Oreochromis niloticus: one gene and its partners. The protein of the gene in region 3 purifies or fractionates together with the protein of the main gene of each other region. This does not show direct contact. Links are inferred from orthologs where the notes say so. Each region holds a gene or a part of one and is shown on either strand. Other genes may lie near its edges.

Region 1 (7,714 bases), on a different chromosome or scaffold from region 3:
ATACACCAGTTTTTGAATTGTGTCGACAGGCCACGTAAAACCAGAGTTATGATAAAAAATACACGCGATGGTTTTTTTTTTTCTGAACAAAACAGTGGTGTTTACAGCGGGAAGAACGGTAAAAACGGCGTTTTCTAAGGACCGCGCTAGCAAACACTCTCCACTTGCGAGTAAAAAAAAAAAGAAAATACACCCCTTCCCTATTGGTGTTAGAGTTTACCATCTCAGCCAATCAAAAAAATGATATGGCAACATGTGGCACTTGGTTGTTTAGGGAGAAAGGGAAGTTTTAGGAGTGACACCCGCGACGGAAAGCAGGCGCGCAAAAGAAAGAGAGCGCGAGTTTTCATATGTGAGACATTAGTGACGTTTAGCGTGTTTGGAGGCTAGAGTTAGTTTGTTGTGTAGTTATTGTTTTGTATTGTGTGTGAGTTATACTGCTGAATGTCACATTTGCTCCAAAAAAGCCATCAAAGGCAGATTCCAGTGTAAACGCTGTTCCCACATGGAAAACTGGACTGATACACCTCCTGCTGTCAGACCTGCAGGGTTTAGGCCTGTGCTGTTCTCCTCTGTCTTATATTGAACACAAACTATTTTTGGACTGGCACAAATAATTTCTGTGCCTTCTTATTTGATGCAGCACAACTGATTGTTCTGTAACTAGATTTAAATGGTTATATAAAAAACGCCCGAGGCCTTGGCTGCATTTTTAGGTAAATAGTACCATATAACTTTGTTTGCAAAACTTTGGGAACTTCAGGTTCATACACATGTAACGAAAGATACTTTATTAAATATTTACTAAATTGATATAAAAATTGTTAGTTTTCAAAAAGTGTGTCCTCCTGAATGGGATTATAAGCTAACAAGCAGCGCTGTGTGTTTGGCAGATGGCAGGTCATGACGGACAGTTCAACTCTCATCCCACTTTTTGTTATAAATGTCATAAGTGTGCTACATTGGTTGTGCATCAAAATTACTTTAAAAAAAACTGACAAAACCATGAGCAATTATCTGGAATAACTAATTTTAACATCTTATTTCTTAAGGCTGTATTTTTAGCAACAACACTTAATCTGTTTTAAAAACAAAATGGTAGGTTTATAAATGAGACTGAGTCTTATTTGATTTCCTTGTTTTAGGCCTCAAACATAGTCCAGCATCGACGAACCATCAGTTTGGAAGGGTTACAGATATTTATTCGTGACGACGAGACCAAACTCTTCTTAACATGTCTGGTGAGTATGCAAATCTACTCAATCTTCAGTTTTGGTTTACAGAGACTTGTATGTACTGTTGTTAATTTTGCATAGGATACAGATCCAGTTGAGAGGGCAACCCGAGGTGTTACGGTGGGCATCCTCACTGTTCTGGAGGACTATGTGGGACCCAACTCGCAGTCCACAGTGGTCAACACTGCCATTGTTTTGGAAGAGGACATTATTCTTGATGATCTGCCAGACCTTCCCACTGCCTTTGCCTACCTGTTTGGCCTACTTTATGGGGTCAACATGGAGTTTCCCAAAGAACTCAAGTACACATTTGTTTGCTGTATGGAAACCAGATAGAAGAGTTCATATCCTGCCATCTGATGTTTTGAATCTGTTTGTTAGTGACTATCAGTCAAGATAGGTTTGATTTTCTGTCTGACAATACCACACCTTTAAAATTGGATGAGTAACATTTGTTACAAAAATTTGACCTTTTTTTTGTTTTTGGAAAAGGACTTTATTTGTGGCTAAATGTTGTCAGTATGTTAAAAATGGCTCATCTCAAAACATTGTCAGTGGTACAGTTGTGTTTGAACACAAAGTTATTTGAAAATCAAAATTGTGTAAACATTCATTAATACAACAGGGAGCACCTCATGAAAACTATAAAGGATACTTTTTCTAAACTTTAGGAAATTGATTGGCAAAACAAAAAAAATATGTTGTGTAAACTTTAGGAATTACATTGTTAAAACAATGAAAAATATATTTTGTCAACTTTAGGAAATACGTTGCCAAAACTAAAACTAATACCTTGTGTAAACTTTAGGAAATACATTGCTAAGACAATAAAATATGAGTTAAGAAAAAGCACAGTTATTAATTTTGTAAACACAAAAACATTAGTTGAAGCAACTTTTCTCCTAAACTTGAAATTATAAGTTATCCATCAGAACCTAAAAACGTAAATGCAGTGGGTTGCCTTGAGTTTTTAAGTTTTTGCAACAATTCTTTTTTTAACAGTGTATTTTATTTAGTGCCCTGTGAACTAATGCCTTTCTTCCAACAATGTCTAACAAAAACACATGAATTTAAATAAAATATCCATAAAGTAAAGTAGAAAGGATTGCTTTTGTATAATAAAACAGTAAGAATAGGAGTAAATTTTGATATATTGGTATGTCATAAAGTCATGTATTATATTAGCAATGAGTAATATTGCACTGAAGTTTATGTTATTGAGTAATAAGGGGGCAGAAACTTGGAATAATAATGTGGAAACATTACTTTATTAACTTGGTTTTCCATATTATTACGGTCTTGTTTCCACATTATTACACCACTATTATGGCATTATTATGAAGTTGTAATAGAAAGGATTACCAAAGTGTGAAGAATTATCATTGAAATCATTTTTTAAATGTGTTTTGGAGAAGTTTGTCTAAGTTTATAAGACATCTTTGAGTTTCAGGAGAGGAAAAAAAGTGGTAAACATTTAAATGCATAAAGCAAAACATATAGTTGGCCCAGAAATTGAGCTCAGCATCACACATACTGTTTCATCTTGCAAAGAAACCCTGTAATGTTTGCCAATATTCCCTTGGCTTGTCCATTTGAATAGTGCATGGAATGACATTTATAATACGCCCTTTACTCTGCTCACCTCATTATAGGTAAGGCAAGCTGTGAGGAAATGGCTTTAGATTATGAAAAACAGAGCCACAGGAATTCAGCTGAAAAGTCCAAACCTTTGGCAGTTCTCTCAGGAGAATCTACACATACAGTGCATTATTTACAGGTTAGACAGGTGGCACATTAGAGTATAAATAATGCCAAAAATTGTCAACAACATTTGCTTTAATGCTTTGTTTTCTTTTTTTCTTTCTTTTTTTAAATATACCTTCATATAACACTGGATCCCTTCTGTGCAGCCTATTCTAATACTAACTCAGCCATGGATGAGCTGCACAAGGCAATAAGGAGTCAGCAGAACTCCTATCCCAATGCAGTGTACATCATAGTTGGGGACTTTAACCATGTTGACTTAAGGTCAGTATTCACCAAATTTGAACATTATAGCAACAAGGTGGAAAAACACACTGGATAAAGCCTACAGCAACATCCAAAAAGGCTACAGAGCAACCCCTCTCGGACTAATGGTGTCAAAGGCCCCTCCCATCAGAAGGAGACACACTCCACCCACTCCAGTTCGCATACAGAGCTAACACATTAACTGAAGATGCCATTGTTACAACGCTCAGAATACTGCAGCAAGACTCTTAACAGGCACCAACAAAAGATCTCATATCACCCCAGTTTTGGCCTCCCTTCACTGGTTGCCTGTAAATTTTAGGTTTCATTTTCAAATTTTACTTCTAACCTTTAGGGCCCTACATGGTCAAGCTCCACAGTATATATATCTGACCCGCTGAAACTGCATTCATCTTCCCAAGCTCTAAGGTCATCAGGTCAACAACTGCTGATTCCACCACACACTCAATTTTAAACTCGTGGTGATCGTTCCTTTCAGGCAGTGGCACCACAGTTGTGGAATTCTCTTTCACTGTTTTTACACTGTACTGACACCACTGATTCTTTTAAAAAGCAGCTGAAGATATTTTTATATAGACAAGCATTCAACTAATTTGTTGTTTTTATGTTGTATTTTATTGTTTTACATTGTCCAGCATGTTGACTGTTACCTGAAATGCCACTTACTGACCAACAGATGGCACTCTTACAAATACCAAATCTGATTTGGTATCTGTAGTCAGACAGTGCTCGTGTCATCAGTGTCACTTTAACATTACAAAGAGTAAAAACAAGTAAAATATATTTACAATAAGCAGACCTAAGTGCCGGAAAGTTCAAACACTGAAAAGCACAAAGGCCAACTTTGTGTCATCCTCTGAATGCTTCATGACACTCTTAGACAGTTTTTATCCTTCAATGCTGATTTGACTGAGTTATGATGTGTACATGGTTTTATTTATTTACTTACTTTCACATTTACCTCGACTTACTTTGCTTCAGCCAGCTGTGTTTTTATAATCATGCAGTCATCGGACCTTTGGAACCTTTGTGAATTGGACAAAATCCAAAATAAATTCAAACTTGTGCACCCAGTTCTTTTTTTTTTAAGTCATTAAAGATGCCATAATGGGTATATGCAAACTTCTCGCCATAACTGTGATACATAAAATCAAGATTCACAGGCTGGCTGGACCCAGGCAAACTTCCCAGTAAAAGAATCTACTGCCATCATGTGGTCATTGATGTGATTACAGCTTAATTACATTTATCGCTAAAACAGTTTGAACAGTTCTTAATATAATTTTTTATTTGCTTTACTTTGTTTCTTTAGCATTGTACTTTCATTGGCAGTGGTGGTGTTTTTTTGTTTGTTTTTGTTTTGGGGGTATTCAGCGACTGAATTGTGAGCCGCTGCCATTTACGACACCAACGACAAAGCTACGACAGCACAAGCAAGAGAGCCGTAAATCGTTGTGTTTGGGGCTGGAGGAGGTCATTAGAAAGTGAGGAGTTAAATAGGGGCTGGCTGTCAGGGAGAAGAGACCCTCGGTGTAGGTGTAGCTCTCATGCTGGTGTAAGACATACATATTATTCACCAGCTCTGTATAGTATTCCAACCGCTGCGAAATGCTTCGTCTGATCCTGCGGCTCAGGCCGTCCTCCGGGCTCCGGTGTCCCCGTGCCCTCCCGGCCGGGCCTGCTGCGCTCAGCTCCCGCTCTGCTCCCGGAACCAGCTGTCTGAGACGGCTTCATTATGGAGCAGGGTCCCGAGCGGCCTCTCTGGGCTCCGGCTTCAACCACAGAGCGACTCTTCTGCGGTCTCCCCAGCTAGCAGGTGGATGTCAGTGCAAGCGCTTCTACAGCCTGCCGCCACACCAGAAGGTAACGCTACCGGAGCCGGTGTCAGGTTGCTATAGCACCCATGTTCACCGCGTTAGCTAGCATGACCTCCCTGCCTGTTACAGAGATCTGTTAAAAAACGCTTTATTAACTGGAAATCCGGCTCTTCCCTGTGTGAGGTTAGCAGGAACTGTTGTTACCTATCGTTTGAATCTCTGAACGACTAGTTTCTCCACTCCTCACTGGTCACTGAACTAAATAAAGCAGACACTGTTGTGACTGTTTGTGCTGCGGTTCTCCTGAATGACACCAATCCGTCAAACCTGACTTGTGTGCCCCAAACACGGAGGCCATAGGAAATACTGGGGCTATAAAAACGTAACACATGCCTGATGGTGCTGAGCGATACTGCAAAATTTGGTATCGATCCCGATACCAAATAAATACAGGGTTTCGTATTGCCAATCCCGATACTTGTAACCTATAAAGACAGCTTAAGTAGGGAACAGCAGTATGTTATTGTTTATGAGGTGATTTATCATAAATTTGCAAATTGTGAACAACTTTTAATGACCACTAACTGACTGAGCTTTGCCTTCCATAATAGCTGTGTTTTGTTTCCACAACAAAGTACAGCTTTCAGTTTGTCATGTATTTTGAAACAGTTTTTTTTAGACTTGGAATATAAATGTACCTTTCTCTAAAGCACTGTTATTTAAATGTGCTATAGCTTACAAATAACAAGGATGTGACAGTCACTACGAAAAGGTTCAGACACTTTTCATAGCAAATGTTTGAGGTATATTTTACTTTCTCCAAAAATAATTTATCTAACACAGTTCAGAGGGCTGAACGCTGAACTTGGACATTAGAAGTAAAGTATAGGTTGTATCACGATCTGATACCAATATCAGTGTTTGTTTCGGTACTATCGATATTTGGCTCAATCTGCGCACCTCTGAGACATTTTAACACAGTACACTGTGTGCACAGCGCACTCATTGTAAAGTTTTAAAAAGACTAGATTCATACTTTGTCACTTTCCCCAAGTGTATTGAAGTCAATTAGAGCAGGTGATTTGTGTTCTCCTCTGCTGCATTAGACAGAGGACCTGGAGGGAGCTCATGGTTAATTGGTTGTGGAACAACTTCAGGAACTGCTGAAAACATGAAACAATTATAACCTGGGAAGTCTGACAGGCTCGTCCTCCAATTTAAGTGACCTGCTGGTTTATACCTCTTCGTCAGTTGGGAGTGCTGCCTGTGGAAATTGCATGCTGTCCCCGAAATCATGAAACTGGCAGCTTCACTTTCTCCTTACAGTCTAGAGGTGTGCTCGTTAGGTTAATTGAGCGTAGGTGCAGATCTTAGGCTGTGAGCCTGAATGAAACCCTCCAGTTTTGGCTCTAAAGTGGAAGGCTTCTTAGTAGTCCTTCGACCTTTGTGTTACTCCACCAATAGCATGTCATTCATCTTTGCTGTTATATAAAAAAAAACTCAATAAAAATCAGCTGTGGTAAAGTGGATGTAGGTCATTTTATTGAGCAATGAATGAGGTGATGATGATGTAGCAACAGCAGTTACAACACCTGACTTCTGGCACTTTTTTGACTGGCCTGTTGAAAAGTTCCCAGTGAGGATACTCGAAAAGGATAATACAGATACAGTCTTTGTTTTTTGGTGTTTTTTTTTTTTAAGGTTTTAGGTTATACATTGATTTTATTCATTTGCTTGCTCTTCAGGTGGAGCTTCCTGCACTGTCGCCCACCATGCAGACAGGAACGATCGCTCGCTGGGAGAAGAAGGAGGGGGAGAAAATCAGCGAGGGTGACCTCATAGCTGAGGTTAGGAGCCGTGTGTGCCCACGCTGCCGCAAAACGTGATCGTGGCGTACATTTCTAATGTTGCCTCTGCCTTTGTAGGTAGAGACGGACAAGGCCACTGTGGGATTTGAGATGCTGGAGGAATGCTATCTGGCAAAGATCCTGGTTCCTGAAGGAACCAGAGATGTCAACGTTGGAGCCGTGATTTGCATCACAGTTGACAAGTTAGTGTGTTTGGACAGTCCAGATTCAGAGCTGAGGCCTGTTAGTTGAGTTTTTTTGTTTTTTTTCGTTTATAGTAATGGGACGAATTAATAGTTGGAAAACATTAAATGGGGAGCACTATGTTTTGATAGTGGCAAAATGCTGCTTTTATTTATTTTTTCAGTCCTTTAAGTCCTTGAGCTTTAACAAACATGATAAAAAAGACTTGAATCTTCAGAAAACCCTTACAATAAACTTTAATGCTGCTTGGTTTACGTCTACATTTGTTATGAAATGTAATGTAATGTGCTATATCAACAAAATTGCCTTTGCCACAATCAAATATGGGAGGTTAAAAGCTGACAGGGTGCCATATGGCTCGATGCAGTTGTGTCAGTTTCTACTCATTATTTGTGGATATATTTTCCCCTGCAGCCCTGACTTGGTCTCAGCCTTTAAGGATGTAACACTAGATTCGATCAAAGTAGCCGGTGCCACTCCTTCACCTGCTACCTCTGCGCCGCCTCCTCCACCTGCTGCTGCTGCGCCAGCTCCACCTGCAGCCCCTGGAAGCTCTTATCCCGCACACTTAAAGGTAAGC
Region 2 (7,857 bases), about 6.3 Mb from region 3:
TGTCACCATGGGGAGCAGGGCTTTCAGCTGCTCTGCTCCACAACTCTGGAATTCCCTACCTCCTGATTTAAGAAATATCTCTACCTTCTCTCTCTTTAAGTCCCAACTCAAAACCCACTTGTTCAAAATAGCTTATCCCACATAACCTCTCCACTTTGCTATTTTAAATTTGTTTATGTTTTATGATTGTGTAAACTCTTTGCTTTTATGTTGCTTTTTACTCTACTGTGTACAGCGACCTTGAGTGTTTTGAAAAGCGCTTTCAAATAAAATGTATTATTATTATTATTATTATTACTTGTCTTTCAACTGCCAATGTTGCTAATGGTAAACCTTTATCCAAATGGATGAGTTATAAAACAAAAACTCAGCTGCCCACTTAAACATGGAATTCTATGTGAACTGTGTAATTTATGCAGGCAGCTTCAAGTTGCCACTCCATGAACTACAGTTTTTTGCATTTCATCGTTTAGACTGGAGACATAGTGCATAGTCTCGTAGTGTGTGACGTCTAAGTGAGAATAGCCTAAGTGAGAATAGTGCAGGCAGTTGTCTATTGCATTCATACTGAGTGTGTCATAAGTCCTTTACACTCTATTCAGGCAGCTCCATCACCTAAATTCCAGTATTTCCACTAATAATGTATCTTCAGTGGATTGTCACTGTGCAACATGTCAAGAAGTACAGATGTGGACAATTTTGTGTCTCGATGTTCATGTGTGGAAATTTGGTATTTTCAAGTTTTAGTAAAATTGTCAAACTTTCTTTCTTTCTTTCTTTACATGTGTATTTAGTTGTCAATATATACTTATTTATTATTATTTTCCATTTTTCGACCCCCCTCCAGCCACCACCAACATCCCCATTTATTTTGAAAATCTGTTTCTGTTTATCTTTTTAAATTTCATCATAAATGTATTCTCCTTTATACAAATTTAAACACTGTGTCATAGTCACCTTTTCAGTTATTGGTTAATCACCATCAAACTTTGGTCCCACACCAGGCAACCTAATACCTGTTTATTAATTACCAATAATGACTGGGTTGAAATATGCGTTGATTTATGTGGAGGCTGCATTTTATGTCTGTAATTGATGGAGGTGGAGTTATTTTTCCCTGTTATATATCCATTATTAGGTCATCTCTGCCGACCAAAACACTTGGTTGGTTTTACATGCAGTTTCATATTTTAAACATATATAACTGCAGAAATGACAACAACATCAAACACAGAATTAAAGGTGGATGTGCTGTACCTTATGCACACTCTTTGGATTCTCTAGCCATGAGTAGTACATCTCCTCCACATAGTTAGAGCTGGTGCCATTGAGAAAGGGTTCACTAGCTAGAGGTGTGTTCAGGTGCCTTGTGGGCTGAGATCTCCTTAAGCCCTGTTTAACTGCCAATGGTAGAGGCTTTGATAGGCTCTGGGTCATTTGTACAGCCGTTAAAGGCCAAAGCCTTACAGCCGTAGTCCTTAAGCAGTGCATAGCGGCAGATGAGTCACAGTTCTGCAGGATCACTCTCCTGGACAAGGAGATCCTACAGGCTAATCAGGAGCTGCCCCTCTTCAAATCCGTCTGGCTTGCTGAACCGGAGAGATTGGCTTATCTGCAGACACTGCCCCTTCTCTTCTCCCAACTGCCCAATGGATCCTGCAGATTCCAGATATAGATTTTGTAATTGAGCAAACCTAATAAGGCTAATATTAAATATATTTTTGTGAAAAAACACATGGTAAGGCCAAAACAATGTTTTATTCAGTTTCTCAGTACTTGTGAATTTGTGTCCTGTATGTGAAGAAGTGCTAGTTGTAAATTAAGGTATGCATTTTGCACCAGAACTGATATTTACAATACATTTTCATACCAAAATTCTTTTTTTTTCCTTTCTTTTTTCCCTTTCATACCAAAATTCTGAAAATGTGATAGGTGCCGTAGGCAGCATATGGACTGAGGCCTCAGTTATTTCAGAAATGACTGGGGAAGGAGTCCTAGTCTATCATTACATGCTAAAGAAGCAGAAGGTTGCTAACAAGCACAGAAAAGTGGCTAACAACTTGTGATTTGCTTACCCCTGAATCTTGGTATTACCAATATTTAAAAGGTGAACAACAAGAAGTACTTTTGCAACCAGGCCCCTGCTCACCAAGATGTGCCCCATGTTTATACTGTCTATGACTTAATTATAAGTTTTAAGACTCAGCATTTAGCTATTACATTCATGGTTTAGATTTAGATATGGTTTTCAATATTATAATTTATAGTCTCTAGGGACACCATTCACCCACTATATACACATGCGCCTATTAAATGTAGGCCAAACGCTAACTGTCGAAAAATGTTGCAGTTTATTTCAGCAAGCAACAAAGCAGATCGAAAATAATAGCTTTTACTGTTAAAGACACCTCAGTAGTTCGTAAAACCTGGACTTTAACCTTTAGCAGACTTTACTGAAAAGGAGAATGTATGTTTTTTGGTGTATTTCTAGTCATTACTTTTCAGCATTTTGTGGCGCTCTAATCGAATGTTTCTATGAGCACAAGCAGTAAGACAACACAGAGGAATTTAGTTATGAAAACCCACAAAGAATAACGCCGGTGCGGGTTAACAACACATCTAACGGGTCTTTCCAGGAAAAAAGAATCTTAGTAAAATGAAGTTCACTGGGGGACGGCATATAGCCTGAAGCACAGACAAAAAGACTTGTAACCTTAAAATCTGCATAAAATAAATACAATACCGAAAACAAAGCAAGAACACTTCAAAAACCGTACCATCACGCATGGGGCCCCTACGAAGCATTAATCAGGTTCAAAGTAAAGTTTCTCGTTAAATAAAGCTTTTAGGATAACACTTCATTTGCATCGACTTTGTTACCTTTACCGCGGTCTCGTAGGTGCTTTCGACGCCTTCCCCGGAGCCTTCCGTGTCGTAAATGAGTGGAAGTCAGAGGTCCTGTCGTAGACGAAAGTCTGTGTGCGCGTGTGTGTCGCGCGCGCGAGCGCTGTCTTGTCCCCGGTGCTGAAAAGCGTCCCGGTAGTGATATTACTTGTTTAAGTAAGCAACAAAGAAAACTTTTTCGTTCTCTGGTGTTCTGAACTGAATGCAGGGTTAGTTTTGTCTGTTCAACTCAAATGATATGCATGTTTAAAATGCGCCTAATGTGGGCAGAGATGTAATGAATGGATAACTACATCTGGAATGTAGTCACATTTAAACAAAACCAAATAAGATTTTTTTTGTGGTGTTTTTTTATTACATAGAAATATATATTTTTCTGATTACAGAAAATTTCATTACTGATTAAACCGCACGAGTACACATACAAACACTCAAGAGATGATATAAACTCTAAGAAAAAAAGAGGTGTTAAAAGTTATGTGTTGGTGTAGAAGGCTGATACCATCACCGGTTGAGTCTATTGGGGTCACAATGTTGTCAGTCTGGTTGGTGAAAAAGCAGAATTTCTAATTATCACATCTTGTTTCATGAAGAAAAATATACCTGTATTAAAATCTGAAATGATTAATTCCTATGGCTCACAGTATATAATCAAAGTACTTCAAAGCAGACCTTAGGTAAAAAGCATTTTTATCCCTCAGCTTATTAACTTGTTCTCAGACAGGCTCCGATACCTCTGCACCCTGCTGGCACTGACTTTGATGTTAATATGTATTCATGTAATTGGTGTTTTGGCAACACAGCTTAATTCATGATGCTAATGAAGTCTTTGCAACACTAAAGGCAGACACAGAGGAGACAAGAAAGACATTCACACATACTTCAGGTGGTGGTGACACAGATTTTCAGCCACTTCATTATGTAAACTTGGATCTCACAGCACAAATCATTAACATAGTAATACCACACTGCATTCAAAATAGAATAAATGTATTTACACCACTACCAGAAGATGTTTTACATTAAATGAAAGCTTTATTTAATTAAATGAATTGCAAACATAATAGGTAATAAAGTCAAGAATCTTTTAACAGCAGTTTTGCCCTTTAAACTTTCCTTTCATAAAAAAAATCATCTATCTTCAGCCTTGCTGAAGCTACTGCAGACAAAATATCAGCTGGCTGCCTCTTCTCTGAAGAATTCTTCCTTTGTTTGGCTCTGTACTTTAAAACAATGGACGTCATTAACAATCAAATCTGGGCATAAATCAAATGAACATTTTGCACACAAATTGGTAATTTATCAGTATTGCTGTTCCTCAATTTGTTTGTAAAGAGAAAAAAAAATACTAAATAAAATGGCAAAGCCTTAAAAATCGTAAAAATATTCTCCTTATCTAGTCTTTAATTAAACATGACTTTTGTCAGTTTCTTGGTACTATTCCGTGGATGCTGGCAATATCATTTTCTTGTGTGTAGGCATGTGTGTCTCTGTCTCTGTTCAGGCTGACAGATCCCATGTTCCTGGTTCTGTACTGCTGTTTGTGATGTTTTTTTGTTGTTTGTTTTTTTATGGTATGCTAGTCTTTTTCTTATTTTTCAGTATAACAGGTTGAAAAACCTGGTCCTAGATGAATAAGAAAGTGCAACAAGATTTCCATAGCAGAAGCCAAGAGGAGAAATGGCCTGTTTTCCAAAGATCCATGCAAAGATCCCAGGTTGTGCTTTCAGCTACAAGCGAATAACAATACAAGGGCAGATCCTGAGCTGAAATTGAGCAATGCTAGAAGAGCATTGAGGAAAACAGGCATTACACATTATCAATGCTAAGTGGCTGGTGTACCTAAGAGCAGAGAACAGCAGCCTCCCAGATCTCTCAGAACCAGTCAACATTGCAAATACTACTATTATTACTACTACTACTACTTCTGCTAATCATAATAATCATAATGATGCTCGTGCAAGAGTACTAGAAAATGAGACCATATTTATCCCATATTAGCTTATTTTCATTCTTGAATTCAAAATCCTTCTAAAACTCTGGTTTTCTTCCATAGTGTGTCTTTTGTATTGTCATCCTCCCCTCACCCCTAACAAGTTATATATTGCAAACCTTTCTTGAATATCTGCCACTGCGATGGTTACTGTATCCTGTACAACGAGGTTGCTATTGTCTGCTTTAGATTCGTACCCACCCTCTCTCCCTTTTTCAAATAATTCACTTCTTATAGGGATCTGCCTGACCCAGGAGCTGCCACCAGTCCCCCTCTGAGGCCTTCCCAAAAACCACAGCCTCAATTTATGTTCAAGCCATCTGCCACTATCTACAAAAATGTTAGCAAACCTATCTGAGGATGTGATCCCAGCTAGTGAATTACTACTTTTTTTTACTGCAATTTTAAATATTTTTCTACTGTATTTCACTATAATCCGTTCTACTTTGATATCTGACATTAAGGTATTTGCAAAAGGTGAGTCTTATCTCCCTAAATTTAGTATATTTCAATTTGGTTTATTTATTTAGCTCCAATTTACAAAAGCAACCAAATTAGGGAACTTAACTCTGTAAGCTAAAAAACCTTACAAACCTTACATATGAAATCCATGGCATGTTAAAACAGTAGTTAGCACTGCCACCTCACAGCAAGGTCTTGGATTAGAATCCACTGTCTGGCCACGGGTTTGCATAGGTTCTCTCTGGGTTCTCCGGCTGTCTTCGATAGTCCAAAGACATACTTTTAGTGAGGTTAGGTTATTTTCCAAATTACCCATAGTTGTGAATTGTTGTCTGTCTCTCTGTGTTGACCCTGAGTCAGACTAGGGTTGTACCTAGCCTCTTGCCCTATGGCAACTGTGATAGGCTTCAGCCCCCCTGTGACCCTAAATTGGATAAGTGGAAGAGAAAGGGTAGAGTAAGAATTCCAGCAAAATAAAATTATGTATAATGTTTAACAACAGATTACATTTTCTATCCTTGTCTGTAAATTTGTTAATCTATAAATGCAGTAAAGTAAGACATTTACCCTGAAATGTAACAAAAGAGAAGTAACTTTACACCTTTAAAACATTCCATAGCACAGTTCATGAGTAAATCTACTTTTCGAGCTTTCCTGTAATCACTGTGGTGGTTGAGATGTTTTTACTGACCCTTCAAACTTTGCCTTCTAAAAAATACTTGCTGGAATATTCTGAGTAATATTCTGTTTAGAGGAAATACTGACATTTATTCATGTAACATTTTAAAGCACTAAAAACACAAGGAAAACTAAAACAATACAGGGTTCTTTCTAAGGTTGTGAGTTGAGATAAGACGGAATAGTAGAGTGGACAGTTTTATTAGTTTACACACTGATTACATCTGATCACACTTTAATATTGATCATCATCATATAATAAATACAAAAAGTATATGATAAAAGCTTTGTTTCACATACAGTCATCACCATCATCATCATTCATATCATACTTGCTCACATGAACACAGAAGAAGAAATGATAAGGATCTATCAATACACTTTAAATTGTCTTTGGAGGTGAAGCCTAAGATTAACACCCAGGCCCAAACCTAGTTATTAAGTAAGAAGGTACAGCTTTCAAAGAGGACACTAATTCTAAGTAACCAATCCAATTAAAGTACTGATAGCACTGACATTTGGTTTGACCAGGAAGGGAAATTCATGGGTTTGTCCTAAAGCCATAGCTGTGGAGTTTCACTGATACTAATGGTTTAAAAAACAAAAACAACCTCAAGATTGTCTGATGATGCATAATTCCCCGTTTCATTTTGTAATGTAAATAATTAGTAATTAATAAAAGACTGTTTTGAATGACTGTTAATAATGTGTTGAACTGGCTCAAAAAGTTTTTACCTTTTGATACAAAACACTACTCATGCAAAATGTGAAACACTAAATCACAGCCTTGGCTTGGCAAGTTCACCATGCGTCTCTCCAAATTTAGGTGCTTAATGTGTTTTTGTTTTTAATACTTCTTCTAACTTTTATGATTCAATGCAACAAGTATTTGAAAGCATATTTCTTTATTTTACATCATGATCAGCATGGATGGTGAGAAGCATTACATTGTGAATTGCCGGTATGCCCATACATTTACCCTAGTAGATGGTGTATTTTACATCACCACTTAGTACCTAAGGTTTGATATCTTAGTGTTGTAAGAAGCACAAAGTTATCTTTCTAATACATTTTTCTTTAGTTCACTTTATAAAATTATATATGTATATTTTAATATTTCATAATAATTGGTTTCTTTTCTCCATTAGGTGACAAGCTGGAACCAGCTAATTTTTATAGTTTTCTTTGAAAACCACTTCCATGATTTGATCTTTCCAGTCATCGTCCTGCGATGATTCAACCAATCATTTAAGCTTTACTGTGTATGTGATATTTGAAGGATCAAACTAGGAGCTATCATGTTCTATACTATTTGTTAAGTGAGCTAAAGTAATTTGACAATATTGTGAATATGTCCTAAAACAGACCAGCTCAGTGCTTTATCTGACAGCCTGTATAAGCCTGTCTTTAATCTTCAGTATTTTTCTTCTCACATTCAATCATCATGTATGTACTTTAATCCTGTAGTCAGTCTAAATGTCAAGCTTGAAGAAGTTGATGCCCCCTCGAGGACAGAAAGTTAGATCATTAAGGGAAAATACAGCAAACGACACTAGATATTTCTGGGAGATATTGTAAAACTAAAGGATTTGATATTCTACCTAATATTTTGGTTTTACTCACTAACATTGAGGGGTGGCTGTTGCTCGGGAAGTAGACCAGGTCATCTACTAATGAGAAGGTTTGTTTTTTTGAAATCTGGCTTCTCCATGCCAAAGTATCCTCAAGTAGGTAAGCTGCCCTCCAATCCGTTCATTGGAGTATAAATGTTCAATAAAAAGGCACTTTGGCATCAAAAAAAGTCCTTGGGTAAATGAGGC
Region 3 (7,346 bases):
AATGCGGTCACAATGTCAAACTAAGAAATCGATGGAAAAACAAGTTACATTCAATTAAAGTGTATTGTCGAAAACACATGTTCTGTGCCATCAGCATCCAATACTAAGGAATACAGACACAAGTGTTATAATAACGTATATGCTTATATTAAATATGGCTAATGCTGCAAATAATGACCTTCAGTGTAATCTTGGCTAAAAAAAATCTACTTGAAAGGTTAAGACAATGGATTTCTCTACTATAGTCATTTCAGGCACACAGAGCATGTACTGCTGGTCAAACCTTTTTTTATGAGGGGCATCCAATCATAAGAGGGTTGGCTTAAAGCGAGGAGAGCTAACACAGCTTGTTTCTGACAGGATTAACTGAGGGGCAGCACAAAAACCTCTATGACATAAAGAAGGATTATTTTGAACTTTGAATCATGCAAAGCTCTACTAGAGCTCAAAATTATAACATGTAGCTGGAAATGAGCAGAATAAGCCCCCTTTAAGGATCAGTAAGCTACACAAAATGTTCCCTTTAAAGCCTGATGGTGATTCTTACTTTCGATGCCTCTGCTTTCAAAGTCCTTCCCATGAGCCAAGTGGTACAAGTAGGAGTTGTTCAGCAGAGCCTGCAGAAACAAAACAGCAGCTTATTCAGCTGGAGGAATGACTTTATACACGTTTACGTCATTTTACGGATTCAATATAGTTTAATCAATCTTACGTTCAGTGCTTATCACCAAACTGAAAAGTTCTTTTTAGGTGAAGATTGTTCTGCTTTCCTCTCTCTGTGAAATTTAGTCGTTATTATGAAGTTGAAAATGTTTTTCCCACTCTGTTTGGCTAAACCCAGAAGTATTGGCTTATTTTTGAATTCATCAAGACAATAAAAAGATGCTACCGGTATGTGCTGCTGTTCTTTCTGGCAAAATTTTTGTCTGTACTACTCAAATGTGTTCCATGGAAGCATTTACCCTTTATAATATATCTATGGATAGACAACCGTCACTGGATTACTTTTATACTAAAGGTGTACAAGTTCTGAAAGAAAAACCAAACCCAAGATAAAAACATCCTTGGTATCTCTCCTTCCTCTGTAAAACGATCATACTGATCAAACCTCTTACAAACAAACCTGTGAATTTGTGGAGATTAAAAGCAGTTTGTTACCTTCGAGGGGATGCAGCCGACATTGAGACAAGTCCCGCCGAGTGTGGGATTTTTCTCGACACACACTGTCTGTCAAAGAATAACAAATTTAGAGACAGGGGATTCATTATTCACCAAAAACTTCCACTTGTGACCATCTGTGGGATCTGTTTAGACAGCAGGATATCTGTTGGGCAGGTGGGTTACCTTGAAGCCGAGCTGTGCAGCTTTGATTGCAGCGACATAGCCTCCTGGACCGGAGCCCACCACTGTGACGTCTGCATCAACTGCAGAGAGGCAACACAGCAGCTTTTAGCATGACTTTACGCCACCAGAGCAAAACTACATGATTAAAGTCTGGTGTATGTAAATGAACATTTTAATGCAAGCTCTCTACCACCCCTCTTTACATAGTCCATGAAGTCCTATCCCCACCCAAATCCAGCACCTGAGACTCTCTGCAAGTCTGAATTATGAGACTGCTTTGATACAAACATCAGAGATCAAACTGCACAAACATGTGGCTACAGTTCAGTAAACACTGTGCCATAAATAAAGTCCTATGATAAGATTTACAGCACAATCGTACTTGCTGCTTTGTCAGCGTAGGTCCGAACAGACAGCGCTGCAGCTCCGTGCACTTTGCAGGGCAGGTGGTGGCTCCGCTGTGAAGCAAACAAAATGCACAGTTAGAAAATACACATGCACAATACAACTAGGCAATGCAACACAAAAACAATGTTATAGTGCATCACAAGCCAACTTTGCAAACTAAAAGTATCTGTCTTCAGTGGCTTCTCTCACTTCAGTAATCTGCTGCTTAAAAATTTCTATTTACGTCACTACTATTTCCTTTTAAAGCTGCATACTCAGATACTGAAGCCTAGTGAGTCACGAAGGAGCAAACTCAACTACTAAACTAAAATTTAAATTTTAATATTTAGACTCATGCACTTGTTTTCATGGAATTGTACCACATTCAGCTGGTTTGCTGTTGCAGTGCCAGCTTTCAGCAAGGACACCCTCAGCCTGTCCACTAGCAACTCTGAAACTTTCCCCTTTAGCAGACTACCAAGTTAGCAAATAACTACTATTTAAGTGTTATAGAGTCGCAAAGCTTCTAAAAGCCCCGAAACAATTCGGAATAATCGGGATGCTCGCCCTGAAGCTGTGAGACAACAGCTGAGCTTACGACATAAATTAAGAGTTAGGCAACCGCTGCTAAACAGCTAAGCGAGCTAACACGACACCAGAGTGGGAAATGTCAACTGCCAAGTCATAGAACCTAGATGCTTTTCTTCTAGCTTTGTGTGATTTAAGCCCTTTTAATATTAGCAGAATACAAATATCACGATTCTTTTCATTGCAGGTTTTACTTCAAAATACTGCAGCAATATTTAACCAGAAAAGTCGTGATTTAGTTTAAATGTGGGGAAGGTTGTTAGTCTAACTCATGCCGAATTAAAAGGAAAAAGGTATATGAATAGGTAACACATCAACTGAAAATCAAGCAACGTGTTTAGACATCGATAACCACAACAACTCCAAATTGCATGTTTTTTCCAGTACAGTCTGGTTCGCCTTCTGCTGTTAGCCGAGTAGCTAGCCAGGTGTGGGCCGCAGGTCTAAAATTTCCCCTATCCTCTAGATCTGCAGCACGCAGGACAGTTTACGACACATCCGGGTTTCGCATACTGGTTATAGCGAAAATAATATGAATGCTTACCGTGGCCAGGGAGCGGTATAACTGTGTCCAGCTCTGCATTTTGTCGGTGTACCCTCACTGGATCCGTAACCTACAGCAGGCCGAGCAGCCAAGGACTCCTATCATTGCGCAAGCGCAGTATGGGTCCAAACAGAAAACTCCTCCGGGTCGCATCTATTACACGTCAAAGTTTGCGAAGGGTAAACAAATGTTATTTTTTAAAACAAAATCATTTTAAAACAAATTTTACAGATATATATATATATATATATATATATATATATAAGTTTGAATATTGAAAGTTTGCTACCGTGAGTAAGTTGGTCTTAGTAAAGTAAAAGTAAATAAAATTTATTTATATAGCACATTTCACAGATAAAAATCACAAAGTGCTTCACAATAAAATCAGACATACAAATAAGAAAATCTACGTCACGGACATTAAATTGGTGAAGGTTTTGAAGAAATGAATAAATAAAGATAATAGAAACAAGAGAAGCCTATATTTATAGAGCTCATCCTGGAAAAGCAAAATGTATTTGGTTCAACAGATCCTAATTTTGATTGCAAAAGCTGCCAGACAGGACAGGATTTAGGAGTGGGGAGAACTTTTGTTTGATTTACAGCCACTCAGTTCATGCCTTATCTAAAAGTCATTTCTAAAAGGAAATGACAAAATCGAAGCCTTTGCGAATTTTAATCTGGTCTGCAAATTGCCATATGTTAACTGTAAATTTTGCACAATCCCCCATGCTCACAAAAAACTAGGGGAAAATGTCCACTGCAGCTGTAACAAGCAGCCCAACAAAGAATGTAACATCACAGAAAGATGATGCTAAAGGCACACAATCGGAAAATTAAGTGTGAATTCGTTTAACATGAGCATTTCTGCATCGTTGTTTTAATATCTGAATCAACACATCAGCAGAAATGTGGCGTCACAGAGAAGAAACAGAGGTTTTCAACTTTTGCACAAGTTGCTTCTATGAGACAAATAAAGTGTCAGAGATGTAAAGGCAGGGGCACATTTATCAGTGTGGGATAAACTCCACTAGGTGGAGACATTTAGCTCTTTAAACCACCTGCTGAAATCATTGTAGAAGATGTGAGATGATTGAGTTAAATTAACACACAAAACACTTAAAAAATCACTTTATTGAAGCTTAGATTTATAATATATAATATTTTAAAAAAGCAACCCAGATATACACATGCAAGTCTTAACTAAGTGGATTAACCTTTCCCTCCTCAACTACCCCACATGTATTATATTTATAGGTTATATTTTACGGTGTATAAATTGTATCTTTGTCAGTGAAACTGCCTCCAAAATGAAAGTTTTCTATTTTAGATTGTATTAAAACATTTTCATAGGTTCTCAACAGTGTAAATCACAAAATGTCATCATCAAAAATGTTCATCTTAATACAAACCTGTGGCAGTTGTTGGGAGGTTCACGGGTGTAAAATAAAACAATTCAAATAGCAAAAACTCTTTTTTCCCCTTATTTATGTAGATTTATTTTAGAACACCTTTTAGGACACTTATCTATGATATCAAACATTTACCGGTGTGGATTTGAACTCCATTATTTTGGTAGGAACTGGAGAACAGGTAGAGTTTCTAGGTGAAAGAGCAGCCAATTAATGAGTGAATAAGAGCTACACCATGAATGTCATAAAAAATGATCAGGCCTTCATCATAATCTATTAACACTCCCACTTTCTCAGTTCTTAAATTCACAGATGGATCAACTGATCACCATGGCCCCGAGCAAACAGTCCAGTAACCATTTTCAGGGCTCAGTTTGGTGCTTTCTCTCTTCAGGTTGCTCACATATCTGGCCACTCCTACTGTCCATGTACGATGGGTTTTAACATTAACCTCAAAGTAAAATCTTTGAGAAGAGAAACCCTGGTTTGACAAAACACATATACAATTACCATTCGCAGACTGGGGAGCTTTGGGTTGAACTGAATCAGGGACAAAATCAGGGTTAAATTTTAACTTAACTGTGTAACCCCCTCTTCAGCTCAGCCTCAGTCACTCTACTTAACTCACTTCTGAGATTCCTCTCCACCTGATTTATAATTCTCCCCACCATCCAAACTGATGTTGGTCCAGTCTTTGGTGGGGACAGCAGCTTTCACGGAAGATAAACTCTGGATGAGGTGAAGGATGTCTTCAGGGTGGGTGAGCTGCTCCACCTCAGAGCTTTTCTGCATAAGTTCAGAAATCTCCTGCTTTATCTCCTTCATGTGGCCTTCAGCCTGTTTCTCTGCTGTTCTCTGCTGGTCTTCAATTGTCTTGATCGGCTCTTTCATGCTGCTCTTTGCAAACTCTATTAAAGATGTGAAGATCTGAACACCTTCTGCTGTCACTCTGTCTGCCTCTTTCTTACTGAGCAGCACAGAGTGTTTCATTTCCCCAATTTTAATCTTTCTTTTCTGGATCATCTCCTGAATTTCATCCTCTGTTTTCTCCTCCGCTGCTGCTGGCTTCCTGCTGAGCTGACAGCTTGAACTGAGCAGCCATCTCAGAGATGAAAGTATTGACATGGAGCTCGGGTCTTGTGTAGTACTTCCTTTTACAGACTGGACACTGACACAGAGGACTGCTGTTCCAGTACTGAGTGATGCAGTTCTTGCAGAAGTTGTGTCCACATGGTGTACTGACTGGATCTGTGAACACTTCCAGACAGATGCAGCACAGAAACTGGTCTTCAGACAGCAGACAGCTGGCAGCAGCCATGACCACACTGGGAGGATAAATGGACATAAAGCAAAAACTGTAACTGCATTATCGTACAATAATTCAGCTCACAAAAGTCAGACAATGTGTGGAGGCTATAATTTATTTTATTTCTTTATGTTTTCTTCCTCCTATTAACCTCTAATTTTGGACCAGTTCTCTGAAAACTCCTTTATTAAAATTAAACTGATGAATCCAAAACACGCTACTAACTGAAAGAAACTCTGAAAATTGACACTGATTGTGGCTAATCTTTTAAATAACACAGTTACTCAGGTGAAATTATTTTTTAAAAAACATTTGCTTTGGTTTTCTGGGGAGGATTCAGCTGTATGGAAATAAAACAATTCAGCCAAATATTTAATTTTATATTAAATCAGTAGACTGCATATTTGAAATCCCAATTAGTTAACCATACTAAGAATAAGCATGCAAACTGATTGCCAAATTCCAAAATCCAACAAATTCCATTTGGCTTAGACACAATAAAGATTTTCTCTGATGCTTCTGGCCTACGCCTGAACCTGGACAAATGCGAACTCATGAGTATCCATAATTGTTCTCACTCCTCCTTGTATGATATACCTGTCAAAAATGAAATCAAATATCTTGGAATTTGGATAACTAAATGCATGGCTGACAGTGAAGAAAAGAATATTCAGAATACAATTGACAAATGCAAAAACACTTTAAACAATTGGCTACAGAGAGATTTAATGTTGTTCGGCAGGATAATGTTAACCAAGGTTGAATCTTTGTCCAGATTAATCTGTCCAGCTTGTTCCCTAGCCATCCCACCAAGGATATTAAAAGAAATCAATAAGATTAATTTTAATCTCATATGGGAAAAAACTTCACTATATCAGAAGCAGGGACTTTATAAAAGACTATGAAGAGGGGGGTTTAAAAGCAAGTGATTTTGAAATAATGAAGGGAATGTTAAAGCTTAATTGGCTAAACAATGATGATGAGATCTGGTTCTTGATACCTCTTATTATATCTCTTATTTTCAACAAAGTCGGGGATATCAAATTCTCATAAAACTCTCCAAAGTTCATCAACAAGTTTTGTTAAACTGGAGATTAATGTTCAAACATAACTTTAGTCCCCACAAAGTTCCACTGTGGAATAATAGGGTGATATTGAATCGGGGGAAATCTATGTTTGTGGAAGAATGAATGACAAAACAAATTTGGTCTGTCACACATATAATGGATGAAAACAGAAATATACTTGAATTAAACAGGTTTAATGAGAAACATAGCATGAGTGGTTCAATTGAGCTCTACAAAAACGTTTCACAGAATATCCCGATAGTTTTTATCAACGCAAAATATACCAACTCCAAATTTACGTAAAATTAAATTAGATGGTCCAGACCTTGTTAATGAAAAATGCAATAATCAGTTTTGGAGGAAGTATTTGGTTAACACCTTATATTCAAGTAGGACAAAATGCTCACTCATTCTAAAAGATTATAACAAATGTGAGATTTCTTTGATCAGAACTAAATATTTAAAATTCCCAAACCCCCAAATTTAAAAAAGTTCATTTTAAAACTACAAAAACCATCGACCCCTCTAATGAATTCATGAAAGAAAGATTTAAATTTGTGTCAGACAATTGTTATATTTGTAAAACAACTTTGGAAACAACACAGCACATGTTTTATGGGTGACTTTCCAAAATTTGTGGAAATCTCTCCATGACTTAATATCATCCTGGTCTACAAATGTTGGTTTTTGGTCTTTTC
Region 4 (7,082 bases), on a different chromosome or scaffold from region 3:
ATGAAATAGCATGATTAATAGTACAGTTCCCTTTTTTAGGAAATGACCTGTATGTATCTGTATGAAATCAATAAAGGAATCAAATACTGCATTATCTTTAGTTACATTGATAATATTTATTTATGGAAAAAAACAGTGGAGAAATATCGCTGTTGCTTTCGTATAAATGAAGTGTACATACCTGAGTGGCCGCGATCTAATCCTGTTTACATAAAGTAAGCCTACTCCCAAGCAGGTTTACGCTTACGAATCTGTTGCTATGACAGCAAGTCCCGGATGAGCTTCGGAGAACCGAACGATCCAAGATCACGCGAAATCGTCAACAATCAAATCCAGCTACTTACTTAGCGAGGTACGAAGAACAGACCCCAGAACAAGAACTAGTCAGTTGCAGTCCAACAATGCTTGAATTACTGTTTGACTATTGGCTGAGACACATTAGGGACAAGCTGGCTTATTTAATTAAACACTGATGTAATCAACTGGAGCTAGCAGTGCCTGAACATTGATATGCAGGGTTACATCCATGTTTTAAGCTTTTCAGTGTGGCATCTCACCAGGATTTTCATCTCTGATGGCTGATTTCAGGAGGCCTTTAGCATCTTCTGAGTTCCATGGACTTACAACCTTCAGTCCTGGACAGTGACCATACCTGGAGACAAATGACCACACTGATGTCAGACCTGCCAAACATCAGCTAGTTACTGCAAACAGTAACGTGACGTCTTGAACCCACCATGCAGCAAAGCACTGTGAATGCTGTGCAGCGACGCCTGCTGACGCTCCATTAGGGCCTCTGAAAACGATTGGAACTGACTGTAGCCCAGCTGACATGTAATAGGTCTTTGCTGCAGAATTGATGATCTGGTCAATGGCTTGCATGGAGAAGTTAAAGGTCATGAACTCACAGATGGGTCTCAGACCAGCCTGCAAGAGGACATTGATCTTGTTAGGGAATTTGTCGATTGCAAGTTTCAAGTATAATAGGGTAGTTTGAATCTGAAGAGCTTTCATAATCTGTACTTTGAAGAATTCTAGTCTAAAGGAACTCTTATTTTGGCATTTATGGCTTCAAGGTAGGAAAAGTGCTTTATTATACAAGTCAAAGTGGCTTGGGAGTTGCCTGTGTACTGCTTCATTGGTCTTGAGGTGTAAAGCTAATTTGGTGGGCAATGGAGCCATAATTCAGGTCTGTAGAGAGCAAAGTGTGCACAGAACTGAATTACTGCTTAGAATTCAAGTGTAATTATGAAGCTCTTAAACTTAAGCCCATTATCTCAGGTAATGGACTCAAGATTATTCAGGGTTTAGAATGATGTTTTAGACAGACTCAAGTAAAAATGTTACAAACTAAAGTCAGTTTAATATAGTCCCATCCCATCAGGAACAGGTCAGACTTACCATAGCAGCTCCTACTGCAATGCCAGTAAACCCCATCTGCACCAAAAACAAAACGTTACTAAAATGAGTCCAACACCACCAGTGGTGATACTTAGATTTGTGGAAAACATCTGTAGGGCAGGTCGTTTGGAGCTCACCTCTGAGATTGGAGTGTCAATGATTCGTTTGTCTCCATACTTCTTCCACAGCCCTCTGCTCACCTGCACCAGTAACCACCATTAGTCTGACTGCCCTCATTGGGACAGAACACAAACTGCCTCCAGGAACTTCACTCGCAATCTGAGCTTTAAACTTACCTTGTAAGCACCGTCATACTGGGCGACTTCCTCACCCAGCAGGAACACCCGCTCATCCCTCTCCAACTCCTCATCCATTGCCTGGTTCAGGGCATCACGGACTGTCATCTAACATTGGCAACAAAACAATCAGTACACGTCACAGAAAACACTGGCTTCCACATACTGAAGTTAAATTTTTAACTTATGGACGCAACAATAGCAAGTTTCCATCCAAAACCTGTTTCATATAGGGCTGTAAACAATTTCCGGAGACTTTAGTCTCAAGTGGCTATCAGAAGACTGAAGGTTTTAGTTCAGAACTCAAAAGCTGAAAGTCATTCTTGGTAGTTACTTGTATCCAACACAAGTAGAAATTATTTACATCTGTTTAGTTTTGTCACCAATTTAATGGCCACTTAAAACCAGTGCTCTGACCTTAAACCTGTCCATTACTCCGCCCTAGAGTGCACAGTCTGATGTCACAATATCACAACCATCTTCCATTTACAGTCTCTTAATGACAAGCGAAAGATGCAGTTTGTACTTCGGTGAAAATGCCTTGATTAATTTTATCCTCCTGCCAATTATATTAAGGAATTGCTTAAAATACACGAGCAACCCCAGATGCAGCTACAATATTTAAAGACACTTCGAGATGTTGCATGTGTATTCCAGCAGCACTTCTCGTTTTGGAGTTTAAAATACTCCAAATTCCAGGATTTTTCTTGCTGTTCTGCTTAAAAAGTGTGCATTTTGTTGTCTGCACTGTTTCAGAGCTTAAGCTTTGTTTTAATAGTTTTCCCCTCAAACTCCTGACAGTGATTTACGTTAATGTGAGACAGCTGTCAGCGCGATGAGGGCTGATGTGATGTAAACCCGCATCCCTCTGCTCAGTGACCGCACAACCGCACGACCCCTAAACCTTAACACACGTATTTAAAACAGGCAGCTGCTGATTAAAACAAGCCCCCATCCAATCTTCAGCCTATTATTGTTGTCTGTGCAATCAAAACTATATTTACCGATATCATTCGCTGTAGAAACAGCTAGCCTGCTAGTTGCTAACACTGACCTGTACTGCGGCCGGAGCGCTCCTGTGAAAATCCCGCCGCTGCAGAGCTGACACGGTATTCTGCAGGAGAACAGAGCGAGAGCACAAACATTACATTCCAAGAAAGACCAAACACTGCTTTAAAAACATCGATTTAATCTATACCTTTCCGGAGCGGAGAAAGCACCTCAGGGACGCTGCCATCTTGAACCTGTCCTCTGTCGAACTAGAGTGACGTGATAGTGGAAGCTGGCGAATTTTAGCCAATCAAGATGGCACCTCATAGGTTGATTGGAACGTGTCATTTCGAACAGCCAATCACAGCGGTCAACAAATAAGGAGGCGGGAGAGTAGGAAATGGGCGTAAAAATATCCAAGGACACGGAGCCGCGCAGGCGTCATGTGTGGAAGGCAAAACATACATAGATGCATAAATAAATAAGTAGTGCGATTCACTCCTTTTTCATTCATTATTTTTTTTTAATTTAATCTGTGCACTTTGACATTATTTCATATGCTACACACATTCTAGTTGGCAATGGACAATGGCACTTTTGTAAGTCTGCAAGTTTAATTTCCAAACTTTTTCATATCCATTAAGAAATATGTTTCCAATCCTCATTCTGATCAAGCTCTAATGGTACTGTCAGTTTACCACATATCATCATAGAAAATAAGTGAAAACATGAGTTGCACTTGTAACATTTATAACACACACACACATTATGTATGATTGTATGATTATGTATGACATATATGATTATGTATTGAAGGTTAACTTTACTGGTATTTATCAAATTAGTGCTTGTTTTAAGATTCAAGACTCAAGAACCTTTTATTTGTCACGTACACATCACGTAATAGCAAATAGAAGTCATATATATGTGCATGTTTATTTGATGTTTTCTGTCCTCCGACATCAAAATCAGTCTCAGTACTAATTTCTATGCTGAGTGGAGACAGGAGACTATATCTAAGAGATGCAAAGGTGTATGCTTTGCACAAGTCTTTTTAGCTTCAGGTATAGAAGAGGTGTGGCCACACCTGGGTCATACAAATAAAGGTAGGAGGAAGATGCTTTAAGCAACGTTAAAATAATCAAACATTAAAATAATCCAACCTTGAGTTCATTTCACCTTGAACATTGTGTCCCGCTGTGAATTAAATTAAAAGTGACCATAAATATAAAAAAATGCAATTAACACTGTTACACCTGAGACCATAGAGTCAATAGTTGTAACATAGCTCCTCGTAACAAAACAGTTGATGATGTAGCTGTGTCAGTGTCACAGAGGGATGGATGCCTCATTTTGGTCAATGCCTGTTGCCATGGCTTCTTTCTTCTTGTCTCACTCTCGCCACTTTTCATGATGCGGGCAGAGCCCAAAGATATAAAACCTACCCTTCGTCTGCCTTCACGGAACTCTTCTTTGTCAGGCAGCTGTGTCTACACCACTACTCTTTATGCTTCCACCTGTGCAACCTCATCACTTATCTTTTAGTTACCTGTAAATATCCCTCCCTGAGCAAACCTTTTAACTTTTGATAAGCTTCCATATAAGATGTCACATCCTGCCTTTTCCATCTTCCCCTGTTCATCACAACTATAAGAAAACGTGAAAATAAACAGGAAACTGCTTTTTTCCCCAAATGTTTATTCATTTGATACAAGTATTATTTATCACAGCAGCCAAATCTATTTCACGTTTGCTGATGATGAGGGGGTCCTCTTGCAGCTGCATTAATACACTCCTCAGGAGATTAGAGAGAATTTGCTGCCTTGGATTATTTTTTATTAACAAACATCCCCGTGGACCGGGCTTCCACCCCTCTAAAGTGCTGCAGAGACACATTCTGGTTAAACGTAATGAGCATTCATGCTAGGCTGATTGCACTGAATGATGAAAGTAAATGATTTGAGCACTGAGCTGTCATCGAAGGGCTAAAAACTTGGTTTTTAAAGAGTCTTTAGGTTACAGGATTCACCTGAGCTCCAGATTCAGCCACCAACGCTTCAGCACACAAGTTGGGTGATGAGGAATAAATCACCACAGGTGGTCATAGTTTCTGTTGCACACAGTGGGTCCTGGCTGCCCTGTGGTGACAGCTGTAAAAGTTGCATGTAATTTAAAGTTATAATTATTCACCTGTTGTGTTTTCTGTTGCAGATTTACAAAGTTTTACTCTGATAATTTTACAGACATGTGGACTATTGTTAATTGCTAACCACTCTAAGCCACATGCTGAAGCGTTGGCATACTACCACAAACAAAACGATGAGCTCATGTACAATAACAAAAAACATTCAGATTTCTTTAGGCACTATCACCCAAATGGGTATGGCACAATAACAACAAACAAAAGTCTGGACACAAACATTAAAACAGAGGAAAAAACAAACATTAAAAAGAATCAAAATCAGAAATCAGGGTCTGAAGTTAATCCTGAAGGCGAGCTGAGCTCTCTGGGGCTGCACTTCATCCACAAAATTTCAGTGCTGAATGTTATTTGTGTTTAATGTTACACAGCACTGCATGCTTGGAAAGAAACAGTTATATGAACAAGAATAATCTTCCCAAATACACTCGGGACAATAATAAACCGGTTACAGATCATCTGAAGCCTTGGTTCAATCAAACTTCCTTACATGGTTTGTGGCATTAGGTTAACTATTCCCAGAAGTACAGAGTAATGTTGACGGCAACGCATTATCTGTAGTTTACTTGTGGATGGAAGGATTATTAGAAATGATCTGGACCCTGGTCAGTGATGTGAAGAGACTGATGGACCAAAATAAAATCAGGAAAAAAAAATTGAGGATTTACTTGAGGTCAGGAGAAAAATGTGATGCGAGATTAATTTCAGACCCTGAGCACAATCGGAAGCAGAGCTGCTCATTGCCATGCATCCAAGTTGCTCTGATGCGGGGCAGTACAGACGTGATGATCTACCATAAACCTCAACAGCAGGCGGCTGATTTTAAATTCATGCTGCACTAGAATGAGAGACTGTGAGGATACCAGGTGAGAAAATTAATGTTATTGTTCATTTCCCTTTAATCCAACTGTAGTGCAGAGCTAAGGAGAATTCTGGGAAACTGTTTTCATCAACTGTGAGTAAAAGGAGCTAGGACGCACACCATCAAAACCTTATTTCTTCAGTGCTCCACACTTGCTTCATGCACAGTGCCTAAATTTATTAGTCCACCTCTCAACATAAGGTTTATGCCACAGCTGCATAAGTAATCAGTATTGGTAATTAACAAATTTGTTCTTTTATTCATTTGTGTAGCAGAATGTGCAAGCTTTTGAATCAAAATATTTCTAATGCTAAAATATAGTTATTTTTGTTATCCATGAATTTTTAAATTTACTGTTTTACAAGGAAAAAATGAAAGCATGATATATTTTGACTAAGACGCCAAATTAGAGTCATTTACATGCATTTCTGAGCAGAAAATCTTGTGGTTGAATGTTGATTGATTTATTTCTGTCCAGAGTGCCGGCTCACATTTGGCTGTAAAGTGATGAATTCAGTTTGCCTCAGAAATAATGATATAACTCTGATCTAATGTTTTTTTTTTTAAATAACAGGTGGTCTAATAAATTTATTAAACACGGTACATCGCATCTCCCTCCATTATACTTTGACCCACCTCTTTTTTCTGGGGGGTTATTTCTCCCAAACTTGTCATTGCCCCCTCATGCCATCATCAAATAAATGTGCACAAACAAACAGCTGGATGAAAACACAAGTAGTGTAGTTTGTAGCTTCCTATTCATTTAGCTGCTCTTCGTTATGTGCTCTGCCTCGTGCAAAATATTGCGCCCGTTTGGTCCAAAAGAAGGAAAAAAAGGAGATAAAGATGTTCAGAATCAATCTAAACTGGGATTGTTTCATGCTTATAGAGCTCGTGAGAGAGAGGGGTACAGTCTGAAGAACTGTGGAGACAACTGGGGGAAATGCAATGCAGAGAAACAGACCAATGAGCAGAGCGTCGGTTAAACCTCCACTGTTTTGTGCTGCAACAAACAGTCATTTCTGTCTGTAATTTCAATGTGATGTTTGATACTCAACCAAAAAATATCTACAGATCAATAAGATGCAAATAAACGTTTTTTCTGCTTTCAAACTCTCAATCCAGGAAGATGACTTTTTCTTGAACACCTTGCACTGCATTGGTATTTTGTTTTAATTTAATACACGGCATGACAGCGAGTTAATTAAAGACAGAGACGACCAGTTGGTGTGTTTTGCAGCTCAGTTGTGAGGAAACTGGCTCAGCAGAGCCTGCAGGCTACATGTCAAAAAGTCGGAGATAATTTAAAAGAAGGAAAGTTTGGTCTACTCCA

The links. Proteins that work in one complex are often made in the same cells at the same time.
Region 1: the proteins of dld (region 3) and dlat purify together in Homo sapiens (affinity purification with mass spectrometry; 4 studies listed by BioGRID and IntAct, counting the BioPlex papers as one, with this or other methods). This does not show direct contact. The link is inferred for Oreochromis niloticus from reciprocal best matches to the Homo sapiens genes DLD and DLAT.
Region 2: the proteins of dld (region 3) and ogdhb purify together in Homo sapiens (affinity purification with mass spectrometry; 3 studies listed by BioGRID and IntAct, counting the BioPlex papers as one, with this or other methods). This does not show direct contact. The link is inferred for Oreochromis niloticus from reciprocal best matches to the Homo sapiens genes DLD and OGDH.
Region 4: the proteins of dld (region 3) and pdhb purify together in Homo sapiens (affinity purification with mass spectrometry; 3 studies listed by BioGRID and IntAct, counting the BioPlex papers as one, with this or other methods). This does not show direct contact. The link is inferred for Oreochromis niloticus from reciprocal best matches to the Homo sapiens genes DLD and PDHB.

What each region holds. Positions count from the first base shown.
Region 1 is NC_031975.2:13,575,567-13,583,280, reverse strand, and holds the start of dlat (dihydrolipoyllysine-residue acetyltransferase component of pyruvate dehydrogenase complex, mitochondrial), read left to right. Parts: upstream 1-4,698; 5' UTR 4,699-4,874; coding exon 4,875-5,129; intron 5,130-6,568; exon of another isoform or gene 6,569-6,719; intron 6,720-6,828; coding exon 6,829-6,930; intron 6,931-7,008; coding exon 7,009-7,133; intron 7,134-7,548; coding exon 7,549-7,708; intron 7,709-7,714.
Region 2 is NC_031972.2:9,756,095-9,763,951, reverse strand, and holds the start of ogdhb (2-oxoglutarate dehydrogenase, mitochondrial), read right to left. Parts: upstream 3,017-7,857; 5' UTR 2,881-3,016; intron 1,657-2,880; 5' UTR 1,492-1,656; coding exon 1,258-1,491; intron 1-1,257. UniProt on the Homo sapiens protein: 2-oxoglutarate dehydrogenase (E1o) component of the 2-oxoglutarate dehydrogenase complex (OGDHC). Participates in the first step, rate limiting for the overall conversion of 2-oxoglutarate to succinyl-CoA and CO(2) catalyzed by the whole OGDHC.
Region 3 is NC_031972.2:3,413,021-3,420,366, reverse strand, and holds the start of dld (dihydrolipoyl dehydrogenase, mitochondrial), read right to left. Parts: upstream 3,020-7,346; 5' UTR 2,903-3,019; coding exon 2,864-2,902; intron 1,803-2,863; coding exon 1,727-1,802; intron 1,425-1,726; coding exon 1,345-1,424; intron 1,228-1,344; coding exon 1,159-1,227; intron 618-1,158; coding exon 548-617; intron 1-547. UniProt on the Homo sapiens protein: Lipoamide dehydrogenase is a component of the glycine cleavage system as well as an E3 component of three alpha-ketoacid dehydrogenase complexes (pyruvate-, alpha-ketoglutarate-, and branched-chain amino acid-dehydrogenase complex).
Region 4 is NC_031970.2:12,962,239-12,969,320, forward strand, and holds the start of pdhb (pyruvate dehydrogenase E1 component subunit beta, mitochondrial), read right to left. Parts: upstream 3,017-7,082; 5' UTR 2,935-3,016; coding exon 2,896-2,934; intron 2,812-2,895; coding exon 2,752-2,811; intron 1,806-2,751; coding exon 1,698-1,805; intron 1,602-1,697; coding exon 1,539-1,601; intron 1,438-1,538; coding exon 1,402-1,437; intron 928-1,401; coding exon 737-927; intron 653-736; coding exon 558-652; intron 1-557. UniProt on the Homo sapiens protein: The pyruvate dehydrogenase complex catalyzes the overall conversion of pyruvate to acetyl-CoA and CO(2), and thereby links the glycolytic pathway to the tricarboxylic cycle.